3 linked regions of the Caenorhabditis elegans genome follow. The protein of the gene in region 3 purifies or fractionates together with the protein of the main gene of each other region. This does not show direct contact. Each region holds a gene or a part of one and is shown on either strand. Other genes may lie near its edges.

Region 1 (4,948 bases), on a different chromosome or scaffold from region 3:
CGGTTAAATACAAACGGGTGTCCGCCTTTAAAGAGTACTGTATTTTAAAAATTTTGTTGCTGCGGAATTTTTATCGATTTTCCATAATCTATTAAAAATTTAGAGTTTTTTTTTAATATTTTAGTTTTTAAAAAGTAAATAAACATATTTTTATATGATAGAAAAACGATGAAAAATTAATAAGAACCCCGGAATAACAAAAGTTTGAAATTACAGTATGTATGCAGTACTCTTTAAAGGCACACACGTTTTTGTGTTTTAAAAAAATTGCCGTGTCGAGAACGGGTACCGTATTTTCACATCAAAAATCGGAAAATTTAGTATACGGGAGATTGATAAAATCTTATTGAAAATTAAATGTTTTAAAAAATGCGGAAGGGAATTTCAAATTCCGCTCTTTTCTTTAACGATATTTTTATTTTTCGGAAATTGCTGAGACTCCTTTTCCACTTTAAATTATTGTATCAGTTTATAAAAGAAATTATCGGGTCTCGCCACGATACGTGCGCCTTTAAACCGTACCGTGCAATTCTCCATTTGAAGTGGTCCACCATCTTTCGACTCCTTTTTCAGAGTCGTGTTATGGATATTCGCAATTGTAAAGTCTTCGGCATTAACTTTTTCTCGACGATCCCTTAAAAATTAATTTTTCGGGTCCCGCAGCGATGCGCCTTTAATCTTTTTTTGAATTCCAGACCTAAATATCTAAAGAAACGAAACCTAGAAACCTCAGAGAGGCGCTATCAAAATGATTGCAACAGGTCTTGCAGCGAAATCGAATTTTTTTAAAAAATTCACTGCGAGACCACAAATTCCACTTACCACGAATACTTTGGAGGTTCACCTCCCTCTTCCGGTTTCGGCACCGCATCCTCGCTGACCTTGTAGCGATCCTCACGTTTAGACCGGCGCCCAAAAAGCTTTTTCGAAAAACAACAGCTCATTGTTCGAGGCTCCCGCAGAATATGCGAAAGTGAGTGAATGAGCAGCGCGAGTTGCTCGGCGAGAGCGCGCGTTGCTATGGAAACCCATGTGAGAGCATCACGTCGCCTTCACTTCCGATGCGAAAGAGGAGGAGCGCAAGACGACGACTTTAATCAACAATTTATTACCACTTTCGTTCAAGAGGTTCAGAGGTTGGGATGGGGGATAATAGCTGCAACCAGCATTCACATATAATATTTGAGATGCGGGGAAGAGGATTATTGGAAAAAGGAGTGAACGAAAGTTTCAGTTGAATACATTATTTCGAGTTACAGAACAATGAAAAGACAACGAAAATGGGGGGAATGATGATTGATTTAGTTGGTCTGGCTTGGGCAGTCGCGGGAGATGTGTCCGGTCTCCTGGCACTGGTAGCAACGCTTCTCCTCGGCCGAGCCACTCTCGGTGCACTCGCGGGAAATGTGCCCGGAGCGTCCGCAATTGTAGCACTTTTGTCCGCCGAAGCTTCTGCCTTCTCCACCGCGGCCTCCGTAGCCACCGCTTCCTCCCTCAGATCTGGCGGATGGGCAGTCACGAGAGTAGTGTCCACGTCCTCCGCAGTTGTAGCACGATCCACCGCCGCCGCCACCTCCACGTTGTCCTCCTCCGGATCCTCCCTTGGGGCAATCGCGAGAGAAGTGTCCAGTCTCTTGGCAGTTGTAGCAGGTGGATCCTGAAATAACATGAAATTAGTCTCGAGATTTCCGCTGTAAATTTATCATCAAATAACTCCTAATCTCCGCCAGCTTAAACACATTTCTCTTCGCCTCCACTTCTCCAGAACTTCAAAAATTATTGCAATTCGGTAAGAAATCAAGAGATAATGTATTTACCTAAATCAACTCAACACCCCAAATTCAACACCACTCCACCTCCTCCACCTCCTCTACGTCCACCATCGGACTCGCCATTCGGGCAGTTGCGGGAGATATGTCCCGGCTGTTGGCACTTGTAGCAATTTCTGTCCGACATTACTGCAAATAATTGATTTTAGAAAAAAGAAATTATCAGTTGCGAGGAATTACAAAAAAATAAACGGTTGAATGTCACAATTTCAATCAAAAATGGCGAAAATTCAGAGAAACAAAAATCCAAGACAGTGAGGGCGAGAAATCATGGATATTCAGTGACTAACATGACAAAAACTAATAAATACATGGAAAACTAGTTATAAAAACCAGTTTTAACGGGAAAAAAGTCGGCGAAATCAGAAAAAATCAAAGAAAATGTGGCCAGAACGTGTCGATCGTCCCAAAATCGAATGTTGGCCGCGTGCCAGGAAAGTTAGATGTGCAGGCAGTCCGGTGGAGCGCCAATTCAAACGTCATTTTTGCTGCATTGAGATTTGATGACAATGTTTTTTCTGCTCGGGTTTCTCGTTTTTAATGATTTTATTCTGAAAAATAACTACTAAATTTGTTTTTATACATTATTATTGATTTCTTAACGTTAAAATAACTTTTAAAAAATGAATTTAAGTCGATATTTTGCAGATAATGGATACTATGCGAGATGAGAAGCGCAAAGCCATTCCGGCAATCGGGTTCTATCCACAGGAAGAAATCAGCACTGGAGTGAGATTTTTAAATTGAAATTTCCACTAAAAGCTCAATTTTCAGACCACTCTCATCGCTATGGAGTACAACGGTGGAGTTGTCGTCGGAACCGACTCGAGAACCAGCGCCGGCTCGTTCATCACCTCCCGTGCCACCAACAAAATCACCCCGATCACCGATAATATGGTTGTGTGCCGTTCTGGATCTGCAGCGGACACTCAAGCGATCGCCGATATTGCCAAGTACCATATTGATGTTTATACGTAAGGAATTTTCAGTTGTTTTAAAATTAAATAAAATAATTTTTTTAAATAATCACTTTTTTCAGCATGACAGAGAACAAGCCAGTGACAATCTACCGCTCGAGCCAGATTTTCCGCCAATTCCTCTACAACTACCGCGAGCAGCTCTCCGCCTCAGTGCTCGTCGCCGGCTGGGATGAGGAGCTCGGCGGCCAGGTCTACGCAATCCCAATCGGAGGATTCGTGTCCCGCCAGCGATCGACAGCTTCCGGCTCCGGTTCCACATTCGTGCAGGGCTTCCTCGACAGTCAATGGAGACCAAACTTGACGCTCGAGGAGTGCAAGGCGATCGTGAAGCAAGCCGTCGGACTCGCCACCTTCCGTGACGGATCCTCCGGCGGAGTTGTCCGTCTCGCCGTGATCAACAAAGCCGGCTCACAGTTCGAGCTGTTCCGTCCCGACAAACCAGGATTCCCATTCGTGCAGACACCAACTCCACATCTCTCTTTCCCACCGCACATCGAACAAGTCCTCTAAAATCGTTTCGTTTTTCGATCTTCTATTGTATTTTCCCCTGTGCGACTATACTGCTAAGTTATTTGATTTCCCTCAATATTTATGAAAATTCACACTTGTCATCATTTTCGTTTCAATGCTGCTGCTGCTACCGCTGCTATGTCAAAAGTGCAGTAATTGGTTAGCCAAGCTACGCAATTGACCGGTATTCTCCTCCGGGAAACTGGTCACGTGGAACGTCAAGCGATTTATTAGAGTTAATTTAACAGAAAGAGTTCATAAATTGCGAAAATATACACGTGGCAGGTTATGGAAAGACGAAAATATTGCAATGGGCGAGTATCTCTAGGGAGGAGAATATTCAAAAAAAAAATTGGGGGAAATTAGAAATTAAAATCTGCAATCGACGAACTGCAAAATTCTGCCAAGGATCGTCCACGTGTACTGGGAGCCGCCAACGTTTGTGCAAGTGGCGAGCAGAGACGGAGCCGCTGAGATTGAAGCTCTTTGCTGAAAAATTAAGAAAAATAAAAATAATTGTTCCTTGTGGTTTCTTAGTTTTCACAGCTGAAAAGATACGGAAAGTCTGCGGATTTTCAGCGAAAATTGTAATTTTTTCTAAAATTCTAAAAAAATCCCCGAAATTTCGAAAATCAGAGGAAATTTAAGAAAAAAAAAATCGATTTTGGAGCCAAAAATGCGTTACCCGGTCTTGACACGATTATTTTCCGTTAAATACAAACGGGTGTGCGCCTTTAAAGGGTACTGTAGTTTCAAATTTTTGTTTCTGCGCGATTTTCATCGATTTTTCATAGTTTTTCGTACTTTTTACTTTACATTTGTAATTTTTTAAAAATGAAATACTATTTTGAATCGAAAAATAACAAAAAATCGTTGAAAATTCCGCTGCACCAAAAGTATGAATCTACAGTACTCTTTAAAGGCGCACACCTTTTTGCATTTAAGGAACATGTGTCGCGTCGAGACCAAATTACCAAGAAATTCGATTAAAAATCCGATTTTTCGCTGATAATTTGAAAAATTTTCTGGATTTTTTAAAGCAGAAAATTGCATTAAAATTTTTGGTTAAATTTCTCAATCTTTTCTATGAAATAAAAAAAATGCACAAAATTCAAGAACATTAAATTTTTATCTGAATTTCGCAAGTCTTCCCGGAATTTGGGCCTGGAAAAATTATATTTTCAGGACAAAAAAACTAAATAATTCATATTCTTGACCACTATACGAATTATTTTTTGCTCTTTTTGTCTTCCGAAACTCCAATGGCAACGGAACTGGACTCACCTGGTCGTATCCTTCAACTGTGGCCGCTTGGCCGCCCGTCGTACACGTTATCGCCACAGTTGCTCCCTGAGCATGAGTGTTGCCGAATGAAACATCACTATAGTCGAATCTAAAGCTTCAGCACTTAGAAGAAAAATCAATAAAAATCAATAATATTGATGATACCTGTATTGATCGGTTTGATCAACGGCCGAAACGGGATAGAGTATGAGGTCGGAGCACCGGGCTCCGACTTGCGACGGGTCATTCGACTGTACGAATCCCGGCGGAGCACACGAGAGAACCATACCGGCGGTCAGGAAAAAGAGCAACACGTGCGTCATTCTGGAAGGACGAAAAATCAAT
Region 2 (5,217 bases), on a different chromosome or scaffold from region 3:
ATGATTGGGGAAGAGAGGATTGGATTTAAAGTTGTATGGACTGCAGTGGAGGGTCTGATTGGAGAAGGTGATGAGAGTGTTAATGGAAATTCTTGTAAGGATCAATTTATGTGCCATGGGGGACAAGTTTGTGTTGAACAGGTTTGTGAAAAATCAGAATGTTTTCAATGAATCTATATGTAGTTCCTTGTTATTTTTTAGAAATTAACTTGAATCATAAATTCAAAAAAAAAGAGTTGTTTAATTACAAAACTTTTTATTTAATCCAAAATTTTGGGTTAGTGTAGTCACTAAAGTACGCAAACGGAACTACAGTACCCAAAAACATCCCATTTCACGACATTTGCTAGTTTCGAGCTGGAAAATTGATTTTTGAACGGGAGAAAACATAAATTCGACAGTCTGAATATTCGAAAAAAAAGGAGAAATTCTAAAGTTGAACAGAACCTATTTAGAATAAATTTTGTTTTGTAAGAAAAATTAATTAGCCTTTTCGTGATTTGTATTTTTGATATTTAACAAATTGAATTGCCACAATGCTGAAATCCATGTATTTTCAATTACTTTTTTCTACTTCAGGGTCATGGAATTTGCGCTTCACGGTCCCGTCTCTGCATTCACAGCTCTCTCGTTTGTGACGGAATCCATAATTGTGTTGAAGGAGATTTCTCCGACGAGCAACACTGTAAGCTCATTTTCCAGTAAAATCCAAGATCTAAAAATTTCCAGGTTACTCCCGAGAGATAATAACATCGGCGGCACTCGGATTCTCGTTGATTGTGCTCACGATGCTCGTCTTGGTGTGCTGTGATCAGTTCAGGAAGCGGCGACGGCTTCGGGTGATGATTCGGGAACGAAGAGCCGCGTCGGAGAATGGGAAATGTAAAAATATGAATAATAATTCGATTACAACACGGATACAGCCGAACCGGTGACTATTAGAGAGCGAATTGTGAATGTTTTCGCGATTCGCTCGACAAATTTATCGAATTTTTCACAATTTTATAATTTAAAATTGCTTTTCAGTTAATGTAACGGAGCTTTTTTCTTTTATTTTTAATTTGAAACTTTAATAAACATTATTCAAACATATAAATTATTTACTTTCGACAATTTTCAAGTGTTTTGCCTGGCAGAATAGAAAGAATTATGGAAATATTAATTCTTTATCAGCGGGAAAGTAAAAGAAAAATAACGGCAACTCCGTGCGGCGATATTGCGAAAACCGCGCGCGCGCATTGCAAAGGGGCGGAGACTCGTCTTTTTGTCATCTTTTGTCATCACTAAAACTAACTAAAACAAAATTTTCTATATCTTTCGCAGGTTTTCGCTTTTTTAACGAGTTTTCTCATTCTTTCTATGGAAATACTGATGAATGTGTAGAGTTGGTCGATATTGGGACCTGTGAAATTTATACTTTCAGCTCAGATGTTATTCTTCGCTGTTTCTTCTTAATTTCTCTTTTTAATCACTTGAAACTCAATTATATCTTTATTTCAGCTCACTTCAAGCGGGAATGTCATCACGAGGAGTTCGAGCGGCGGGTACCGATGGGACGGACTTCCAAAATCGGCAGAGGGTCGCACAGCACTACCAGGAGAGCGCTCAATACAAGTCGATCCTCAAGTGGTTCTTCGTTCCACACTTCTTGATCCTGGTCTTCATGTGGCTCAAGGTTGGCAGCGAACTCCTCCGAACAAATTTCGGATGGAAAAACGCGTTCTTCGATCGACTGGACATGCCGTCAGCCTACCCATGGGAGTATGTGTGGTGCTTCTCATTCATTCCGATCGTCCTCGCCATCTATTCGTTCCAACGAAACAAAGTAATTTATTTATTGATCAATTTGCCACAAATATAACTTCTTATTTCAGCTCAAGATCCTCCACTACGCCTACTATGCCGAGTTCGTCGTCGGAATCTTCCCATGCATGATCGGGCTTGGAGGACAACTTCCAGAGCTGATGGAGTATGCTCAAGACATGGAGGGAAGCAACACACCGACATTCAAAGGAATCTTCCCGATGGTCATCATATGGTACATCTTCTTCGCGGTCGCACTCCAGATTCACGGATTCTCCATGTACTTCATGCATCACCTTGCCGCCGCATGGGCTCCAGTCAAGCGAGATTAAATTTTCTCCGTTTTGTGATATTATTTTTCAATTTTCCCCCATTTGTTGAGTTGTGTACCTTTTCCTTGTTAATAGTATTTTTATTCAAATTCCTGCTAGTCTCTATTGCCAAATTAATAATTCCATATCTTTTATTTATTTTCTTACTTTTTCTAATTACCGGTTACTGTTCTACAGTTCCGTTGATACTTTTCTGTTTCAATATTGATTGCATTTGTTTCATTTTGTTAAATCAATTTTCAGAATCGAACTCCAAAGATGTGGGGCGAGACATTCGACGATTTCGAGAATGACGAAGGAGAGATGGCAATGGCCAAGCAGAACCTGATCGCCGAGCCGGCTCGAGCTGATTTCACTTTCGCGAAGCTTCCGTTGGGAATCCAGCCCGTCGATTTCATGAAGACTCACTTCGCCGAGACCGCCGGAAAATCCATGCAATTCCGCAAAGGAACCACCACATTGGCGTTCGTCTACGAGCCAGCAACTCCAGCTGACAAGGGAGGAATCATTGTGGCTGTCGATTCACGAGCCTCCAGTGGTGAATACATCTCATCCAAGTCGGTCATGAAGATCTTGGACATCGGAGATCGTATGGTTGCCACGATGGCTGGAGGAGCTGCTGACTGTCAGTTCTGGACCCGAATTGTCGCCAAGTACTGCACGTGAGTTTCAATATTTTCAGCTTCAAAACAAAAATAATTATTTATTTTCAGTTTGTACGAGCTCCGCGAGAAGACCTCAATCACCGTGAGCGCCGCGAGCAAGTACTTTGCAAATACGCTCTATGGATACAGAGGACAAGGATTGTCAGTTGGATCGATGGTGGCCGGATACGATAAGAAGGGACCACAAATCTTCAAAGTCGACTCGGAAGGAGATCGTTGCCAGCTTAAAGTGTGCTCAGTTGGCTCAGGATCTCTGAATGCCTACGGTATCCTCGATAATCACTACAAGCCAAAGATGACGGACGACGAGGCCAGAAAGCTCGGCCTGCGTGCGATCATGCACGCCACTTATCGGGATTCTGGATCCGGAGGCGTCTGCAATTGTACGTGAAGCTTTTTGCTCGGCTATTCCACAAAATGGACCATTTTTCACTAAAAATGGCTTTTATTTTGTCTAAAATTTAAATTTTAGACGATTTTTATTCGAAAAAATTCTTCGGATAAATGAAAAAATTGGTTCATTTTGTGAAATCTCCGGCCACCTTTAATCTAATCGCTTCTATTTTTCATCCTCCAAATTTCAGTGTGCCACATCACGCCAACCGAAAAGATTCGTCTTCCACCAATGGACGTGAGCAAGCTGTGGTACGAGTTTGCCGATGAGCTCGGCAGAGATATCACCTACAACCCAGTCGAGTGATTCAATTTCCCTACGCTGAAATTAATTTTATTCTTCTTACATGTATTTGATGTCTGATCCGATCCCGATTTTTTTTACATACACACCCGTCTTTAAAATGTCATTTATTTCTATTTTTCGTTTCCAATTAATTTATTCTTCTTTTGCTAAATACTCTCTGTACATTAAGTTCTAAAGTTTTCAAGTTCGAAATCCCGAATTTAGGCTTAGAATTTAGAATTTCCCTCGACAACAGGGGTGGCTGGAAGAAACTCTCAATCACATGGCACAAATTGGATTTTTGGAACATTAATATCAAGTAGTTCTAGAGGGATACTGAGATGGAGTTACACTCAAAAGTTTATTGCAATTTTCGAATGTGAAAATCAAGTTAAAGCGATATGTGTCGGCTGGGTGTTGATGACGTGGTGATTATAACAGCTGGAGTCCCATTAGTGTTCCGCCACGCAGGGCCTATTCGTGTTCCAGCTGGAAATAGTTTAATTGTGCTATTATTTGAATTGTTTTTTTCCATTAAAATTGAGAAAAAGTGCGATTTTAAGAGTAATGGGTATCAGTAGGATCTAAATATTTTAGCTACCGTACCCAGGAATATTTTGCAACTTTCTCTAATTTTTTCGACAGCTTTGGATTGTACAGTTTTGGCTGAGAAAGTCAATGGGTAGTTCGAAATTTGCCAAAACTAAGTTTTCCGTAGATCAAACACAAAGGTTGCGCGCCAAATATGATGTTTTGAGTCCTCAATCGGAAAGTACGCAAAGACACACAAAATGCATCAGATTTGACGCGCAAACTTCATTTTTCTTGTTTGTGAAAAAAATATAATATTTTTTTAAAAACTTACAGGACATAGAAGGTGCCACAGATGCCCGTTCTATAAGCTCAATTTGCTGCTCTCTCCGCCTGGGAAGCATCGGACGGCGGCTCTCGGAGCCCACACTATCGCCAGCTTTATTATATATAATGGCACTGGAACGATCGAATTGTGGCTCCTTTTGCATATTATTTATAAAATGGTAACAAGCGGTAAGCATGACGCCCATGAAAATTCCAATGCAGAAGAGTAATCCGACAAGAATCCACGGGAAATCAGATGGCTTGAAGGAATAGGAACTTGGCTGGAAAAATCGAAAATTGGTAAGTGGTCAGCATGCGCGCTCTAATGTTAAAAGAAATATAAATTGTTGGTGTTGGGTCCTGCCGTTATCTAAATTGATATAAACATTTAAGCTACCATAGTCACGAATATTTTTTTTTTTTTTCATTTTGTTAGAATATTTTCGTCGTACAAACCGATAATCGGCAAAATTTTTAAAAAAGTTAAAAACTCTGTAACCGCGCTCCAATGATAAATAATAGAATTGTCGGGTCCCACCACAATCGAATCTTTTCATCTACCTTGAAATTTGCATAATAACAGAAATTGGAAAATTATTTGAAATTCAAAAAATATCTCATTTTTCAGCGGGAATTGGAATTTTACGGAAGCTGGCTTTTTCAGAGTCGATGCACCATGTGCAAAATTTTGACAGGGGATATCTCTTGGTTCATTTTGAAGGTACCAACAAATTTTTAAACTGCAAAATTATCTTTAAAAATTTGGCGTCAAATGTGGTGTATTGTGTCCACAAAGGAAAAATAACCGAAAACACTAGATTTGACGCGCAAATTCTCACCGTAGACGTTTGCTCTTTCTTCTGCGTAGGCGGTGGTGGAA
Region 3 (5,279 bases):
AACGATTCTTGTCACTGTTTAAGATAAGACTGGCATGCTCCGTAAACAAAATTCGAGCTCCTTGAGCATCTTCTTGCTAGTTCTGCTGCTTCTTATTTCAGTGTCTATTTTTATCACGTCCAATCAAATCAGTAAGTTTCAAAAGATCATAGTTATGCTAGTTACACGGGAAAATTCAGATCGTAAATTGGAACAATGCTCTTTGCCGAGCTTCACACGACAAGCTCGAGTGCTTAACCCAGCAGCTCTTTACACTTCCCATTCTGCAAAAGAGGTCCGCAAATCTTCTTTTAAATCTGCGGATCAGGCCCGGAAGCTACTGATTGCTGCAGCAAAGTTAAATGACAACAAGGACTTTTACGCGAAGGTGAAGACGGAAGCTCATTGTGAGAATATGGAAAGAATTGGAGAGTCAGGAGACGGGGGAAAGTATGTTTGCAATCCAAAAATGGTTCGAAATGGGTGCACGTTGATGTCATTGGGACTTAACAATCAAATAGAATACGATGAACACATCCACAAAGCTACAGGGAAGCAATGCATCATACTTGGAGCAGATATTGTGAGTTTAAAACGTTTGAATTTTAAATATTCACTCTGTAAATTAAGGGAGAACAAAACGAAAAGACGAAAGAGTCATACAAGAATATCAATGGCCAATTGTTCGTAGGAAAAATCCCGGACAATCTGCCCATCTCATCGATGCTCGAGAAGTCTGGTAGAAGTGAGATTGAGCTGTTGAAAATGGATATTGAAAATGGAGAGTTCACTGCTTTGGAGCCACTGATCAAGGACTATTTTGTTTGTCAGATCTTCATTGAAATTCATGGAACCCCGTTGAATCACTTTGAACTGCTCCAAACCATGGCAAAATACGGCTTCCGTATCTTCAACGTGGACCCTAACCCATATTGCGAGGCATGCTGTGAGTACAGTCTCATCAACGACTTTTGTATGGCACAGTTTGAAGTTACTCCGTTGGCCAGCATCATTCCACCAGTAACTGTATGAGTTTTTGTTTTGTTTTTATTTTATTTTATTTGTGTTTTAAATAAAGTTTATGTAAATTGAATTCTTGGTTTTATTTCGACACTAAACCAAATCAGTGCTTATTAACGTGTACTCATATTTTTCGGCTTTATCCGTTTCTAGTTGAAATTCTTTTTGACTCAATTTTGCAGCATCTAATTTTCACTGAGTTTCACAGCTTTTATTAATTGATGGAAAATTAGTAGAATTCGTTTTTTCTTAATCAAAAGTCTATATTGAAAAAAAATTATTACAATAATAAATCATTGATTTGACCTTTTTATGCTTTTTTCAAGGCAAAGCTATACCCAAAAAACTCACTAGTTCATCTGAAAATGAAACAATAACCAAACACAGATTGTTCAAGCCAAACATTTTATATTGATTTTACAAAAAAAAACTTTAACATACAAAACTTTTTTTGATTCATATGAAAAAGGTCGGTGAAATCATAGCTGCTGCAGACGCCTTGATGTTTGATGACGCATCACAAATGTTTTAGCATTGACTGCATCCGGAAGAACTAATTGGTGTTTGACTCTGATTGAAGTCTGAAATCTCTTTCATATAGGCTTGAGATTTAATCTAAATAGAACAAATAGAGGTTAAGGGGTCAGATCGGATTTTTATTTGAAAACTTACAAATTTTTTTTTCAATTTTTTCGAAAAGCTAGTGTCTGCAAGAGGTTTGCAGTTTCTATAAAACATCTTTTTCTTGAGGCCCATGATTTGCCAGTTGCTATATTCCTACTTGACTATGCCCTCTTGTTTTGCAGAGTTTTAATTTCAAATTTCAATACGTCAATCTATAAGAAACAAAAGGAGGAAACATCACTGACCACCGTTCTCTTTCCTTCTATTCGTCAGTTGTCTCGATGCGATCAAACTATCACTTTCCCCCTCTGCGTCTCTTTCATATTTTGCCTGCAACTCTCACTGCGTCTCTATCTCTCCCTCTCTTGCCTGCCAAACGGACAAAAAGTCCACTTTAGTTTTCTTCTACCACGTGCTCTCGGTTTTCGTGATTTTCGTTTGATTTTTTTTTCAAATTTTCAGCAGATGTTGCTACGAAATGTGCTCTCCAAAGGTCTTCGGCTCAGAAATTCCAGCAGTTACTGCTTGAGGCGTAGGTTTTATATTTTACAAGTTCAATTTTTTAAGAAAATATACTTTCAGCGGGTGTTGGACTCGAACGCGACGTCGAAGATGTTTTGGAAGCCGCCCATCAATTTGCCAAGAAAGAAATGTACCCAAAAATGGCAGATTGGGATAAGCAGGTAAGATTTTCCCAAAAACATTCTTTTAAAAAATGATTTGAAATTTTTCAGGGAGAGCTCCCGATGGACGTGCTCCGGAAAGCTGGAGAAATGGGATTCGGAGCCATTTATTGCAGTGGCGACCATGGAGGATCCGGGCTCTCTAGACTTCATGCTTCAGTAATTTTTGAGCAGCTTTCAATGGGATGCGTGTCGACGGCAGCTTATATTTCAATTCATAATATGTAAGTTAGCTTTAAAAAAAACTAGTGAACTATATATCTTATAGGTGCGCCTGGATGCTGGATACCTACGGCCCGGAGAAGCTTAAAGAGGACTTGCTCCCAGACATGGCTGTTTTCAAAAAGCTCGGATCCTACTGTCTCACAGAGCCAGACGCGGGCTCCGACGCCGCAAGCATCAGAACCACGGCTACCAAAAAAGGAGATTATTATGTTGTCAACGGATCGAAAGCTTTTATCAGTGGAGCAGGAACTTCAAATAAGTAGGTCTTTCTTGAGATATTCTGTTTAAATATTGTAAAAAATTTAGCTACTTCGTTATGATGCGGCAGGATGGTGCAGCTCCGGGAGCCAAGGGAATTTTCTGTCTTATGATTGAGGATGGAACTGAGGGATTCAGTTACGGGAAGAAGGAGGATAAGCTTGGGTGGAACTCACAACCAACAAGGATTTTGACTTTTGAGGATTGCAAGGTGAGCGTTTTAGAAGTTTTAATTTTAAGAAGTATTAATTGACTGTTTTCCGATAAAAGAAACGATTGCCCTGAGCATTTGTATAAATTTCCATTTTCCATTTTCCAGGTACCAATCACTAATCAAATTGGAAAAGACGGGTTCGGCTTCAACATCGCAATGGCTGGGCTCAACGGAGGACGCATTAACATTGCGAGTTGCTCACTAGGAGCTGCTCAAAGGAGCATGGACTTAGCTATTGAACATTTGAAATATAGAAAACAATTTGGTAAGAGCTTGGCAGACTTCCAGTATAACCAGTTCAAGCTTGCGGAGCTCGCCACAAAATTGTATACTAGCAGGTGAGATTTTCTTGTCAACTAGAAACTTTTATAAAAAATTTGAACTTATTTTCAGACTAATCGTTAGAAACGCCGCGGAGCAACTAGACAATGATGATCCGGAGAAGGTGGCTCTTTGTGCAATGGCGAAGCTTCACGCCACTGATAATTGTTTCGATGTGAGTAATTTTTCAGCCGACATTTGACAAAGTTTCTTGTTCCAGGTCGTCAACGGAGCTCTGCAGATGTTCGGTGGCTACGGATTCCTGAAAGATTATCCGGTTCAACAGTACCTCCGCGACATCCGAGTTCACCAAATCCTTGAAGGAACCAATGAAATGATGAGATTGTTGATTAGCAGGGACCTGCTCACTAAGGATGTATTCTGGAGCTCCTGAGCCATATTTGTCTCCAAGGAATTTTAGAAATGGGTATTTCCAATTGCTCATGGCATTTTGCTATTTATTACAAACTTTTATTGAATATAAATGTTTTAGATTTTCCTTTTTTCTGCACAAAAACGAAATTAAAGACTAAAAATTAATGCTCTTTTATTTGTAAGCATATTCTATCACAATTTTCTTTTCACTGTGTGGATAGGAGCTTCACGTCCCTAGAACATCACAACCAAGCATCGTTCCTGATCCCGGTAATGAGTAGGCTCATATATTTTGGCCCAGTTGGCAAAGCAGGACCGATAAATTTTGGTGGATTCTCAGCAACTCCATGAAGCCATTCAAAGACTTGAACACGAGCACATGGATCATTTTCATTCATTGGTTGGTCGTAGATATTCACTCAAGAGTTGATCCAAACTGCCCGAAAAGTTTGGGGTGCTCAACTTCAATTGTTTCAAAGCCGATCCTGTCAACTGTCGGCAACAATTTTACCAAACTACGTTTTTACCTAATTCTAATAATTGGGTTCAAATGATTTATTGTTTCAAAAAATAAATTTATAGTTCTAAGACATTTTGAGTTCCGAATCTTTTGTCAAACTTTCAGTTTCATAATCTAGCTCTAAACCTTCCAGATCGCCGTCTTCTCCAGCAGCAGCTCTTGCACAGCAGCAAATTCCGGTACAAACGCAGGAAACAATGGATCCAACAATTCCACAGAAAAACAGAAAAACTAGAATGCAAATGACGGCAATTGCAACTTCAACCGTCATGTACCACTCGCAGTAGTTGGTCTGCTCACAGCATTCTTTCCAGAGAGCGTTGGTACTTTTGCAGGCGTCATCAAGACAGTAGTCGCTGCTAGCGGTGTCCGAAATAGAGATTCATTAGAAAAAAGCTCGTGAGAGGTCGGACGCTGCAGGGAAGCGATTTAGCAGAGCAGCCCTGGGACTCGGCTGCTAGATTTATTATCTTCAGAAATGGGTTTAAAATGTCGGCTGCTACTTTTTTGTTGTCACAAAAGCGCCTAGTGTCGGTACATCTTCAAAACTTACATGATCGACATTTCTCGGCAAGATCTGAATTATCAAACAGCGACATGATGCAAGTTCTCAAAAACCGATAGATACAACTGGTAATGATCGAACATATGCAGTTGTAAAGATTATATTCTCACGTTTTCTAATAATAAATAAAAGACGTGTCTTTCTAATTGTTTTGTCCATTATCTCCTAGTTTGATCAGTTCTAGTTCTGCCGATTTATTAAATTTTTACGTTTTTATAATGGCTTGGTACGACAGCAGTGAGAGCGCTCAGAACTGTAAACAATGTAAGTTTTAAAGTCTTGATAATGCGTGCATCGTTTTTATTTCAGATGTTCTTTCTTCGGAGTACGATGATTGTGTTGAAGACGACACGTGCATGAGGACTAACTCTATGTATCTGGAATGCTGCGTCAAGCACAGATACTGCCGATGGTATGGAAACACCGGCTTTTTCATCCTCATGCTCTTTGTCGTCATTATTTGTATAATTGTATCCGTCGCTGCAAGTGTCGTTT

What was found.
Region 1: the proteins of acdh-9 (region 3) and pbs-1 fractionate together in Caenorhabditis elegans (co-fractionation; one large-scale study listed by BioGRID). This does not show direct contact.
Region 2: the proteins of acdh-9 (region 3) and pbs-5 fractionate together in Caenorhabditis elegans (co-fractionation; one large-scale study listed by BioGRID). This does not show direct contact.

The regions. Positions count from the first base shown.
Region 1 is NC_003282.8:1,707,275-1,712,222, reverse strand, and holds pbs-1 (Proteasome subunit beta), read left to right. Parts: upstream 1-2,477; 5' UTR 2,478-2,480; coding exon 2,481-2,558; intron 2,559-2,603; coding exon 2,604-2,803; intron 2,804-2,868; coding exon 2,869-3,319; 3' UTR 3,320-3,420; downstream 3,421-4,948. Other genes in the region: rpi-2 (Protein XRP2), read right to left, coding at 523-634, 823-944; K08D12.3 (CCHC-type domain-containing protein), read right to left, coding at 1,302-1,657, 1,857-1,956; pugs-4 (C6 domain-containing protein), read right to left, coding at 3,689-3,808, 4,604-4,712, 4,769-4,926.
Region 2 is NC_003279.8:14,717,639-14,722,855, reverse strand, and holds pbs-5 (Proteasome subunit pbs-5), read left to right. Parts: upstream 1-2,378; 5' UTR 2,379-2,393; coding exon 2,394-2,797; intron 2,798-2,848; coding exon 2,849-3,183; intron 3,184-3,384; coding exon 3,385-3,500; 3' UTR 3,501-3,689; downstream 3,690-5,217. Other genes in the region: sol-2 (CUB domain-containing protein), read left to right, coding at 1-141, 580-685, 730-935; K05C4.2 (Protein jagunal homolog), read left to right, coding at 1,517-1,825, 1,875-2,135; Y54E5A.8 (Conserved plasma membrane protein), read right to left, coding at 3,871-3,968, 4,345-4,618, 5,177-5,217. UniProt on the Caenorhabditis elegans protein: Component of the 20S core proteasome complex involved in the proteolytic degradation of most intracellular proteins. This complex plays numerous essential roles within the cell by associating with different regulatory particles.
Region 3 is NC_003280.10:845,410-850,688, reverse strand, and holds acdh-9 (Isobutyryl-CoA dehydrogenase, mitochondrial), read left to right. Parts: upstream 1-2,085; 5' UTR 2,086-2,088; coding exon 2,089-2,155; intron 2,156-2,205; coding exon 2,206-2,306; intron 2,307-2,357; coding exon 2,358-2,530; intron 2,531-2,574; coding exon 2,575-2,790; intron 2,791-2,837; coding exon 2,838-3,000; intron 3,001-3,108; coding exon 3,109-3,341; intron 3,342-3,396; coding exon 3,397-3,499; intron 3,500-3,544; coding exon 3,545-3,718; 3' UTR 3,719-3,825; downstream 3,826-5,279. Other genes in the region: F28A10.5 (Methyltransferase FkbM domain-containing protein), read left to right, coding at 35-131, 180-562, 610-1,011; F28A10.13 (60S ribosomal protein L35), read right to left, coding at 1,479-1,580, 1,672-1,755; F28A10.7 (uncharacterized protein), read left to right, coding at 5,003-5,048, 5,094-5,279.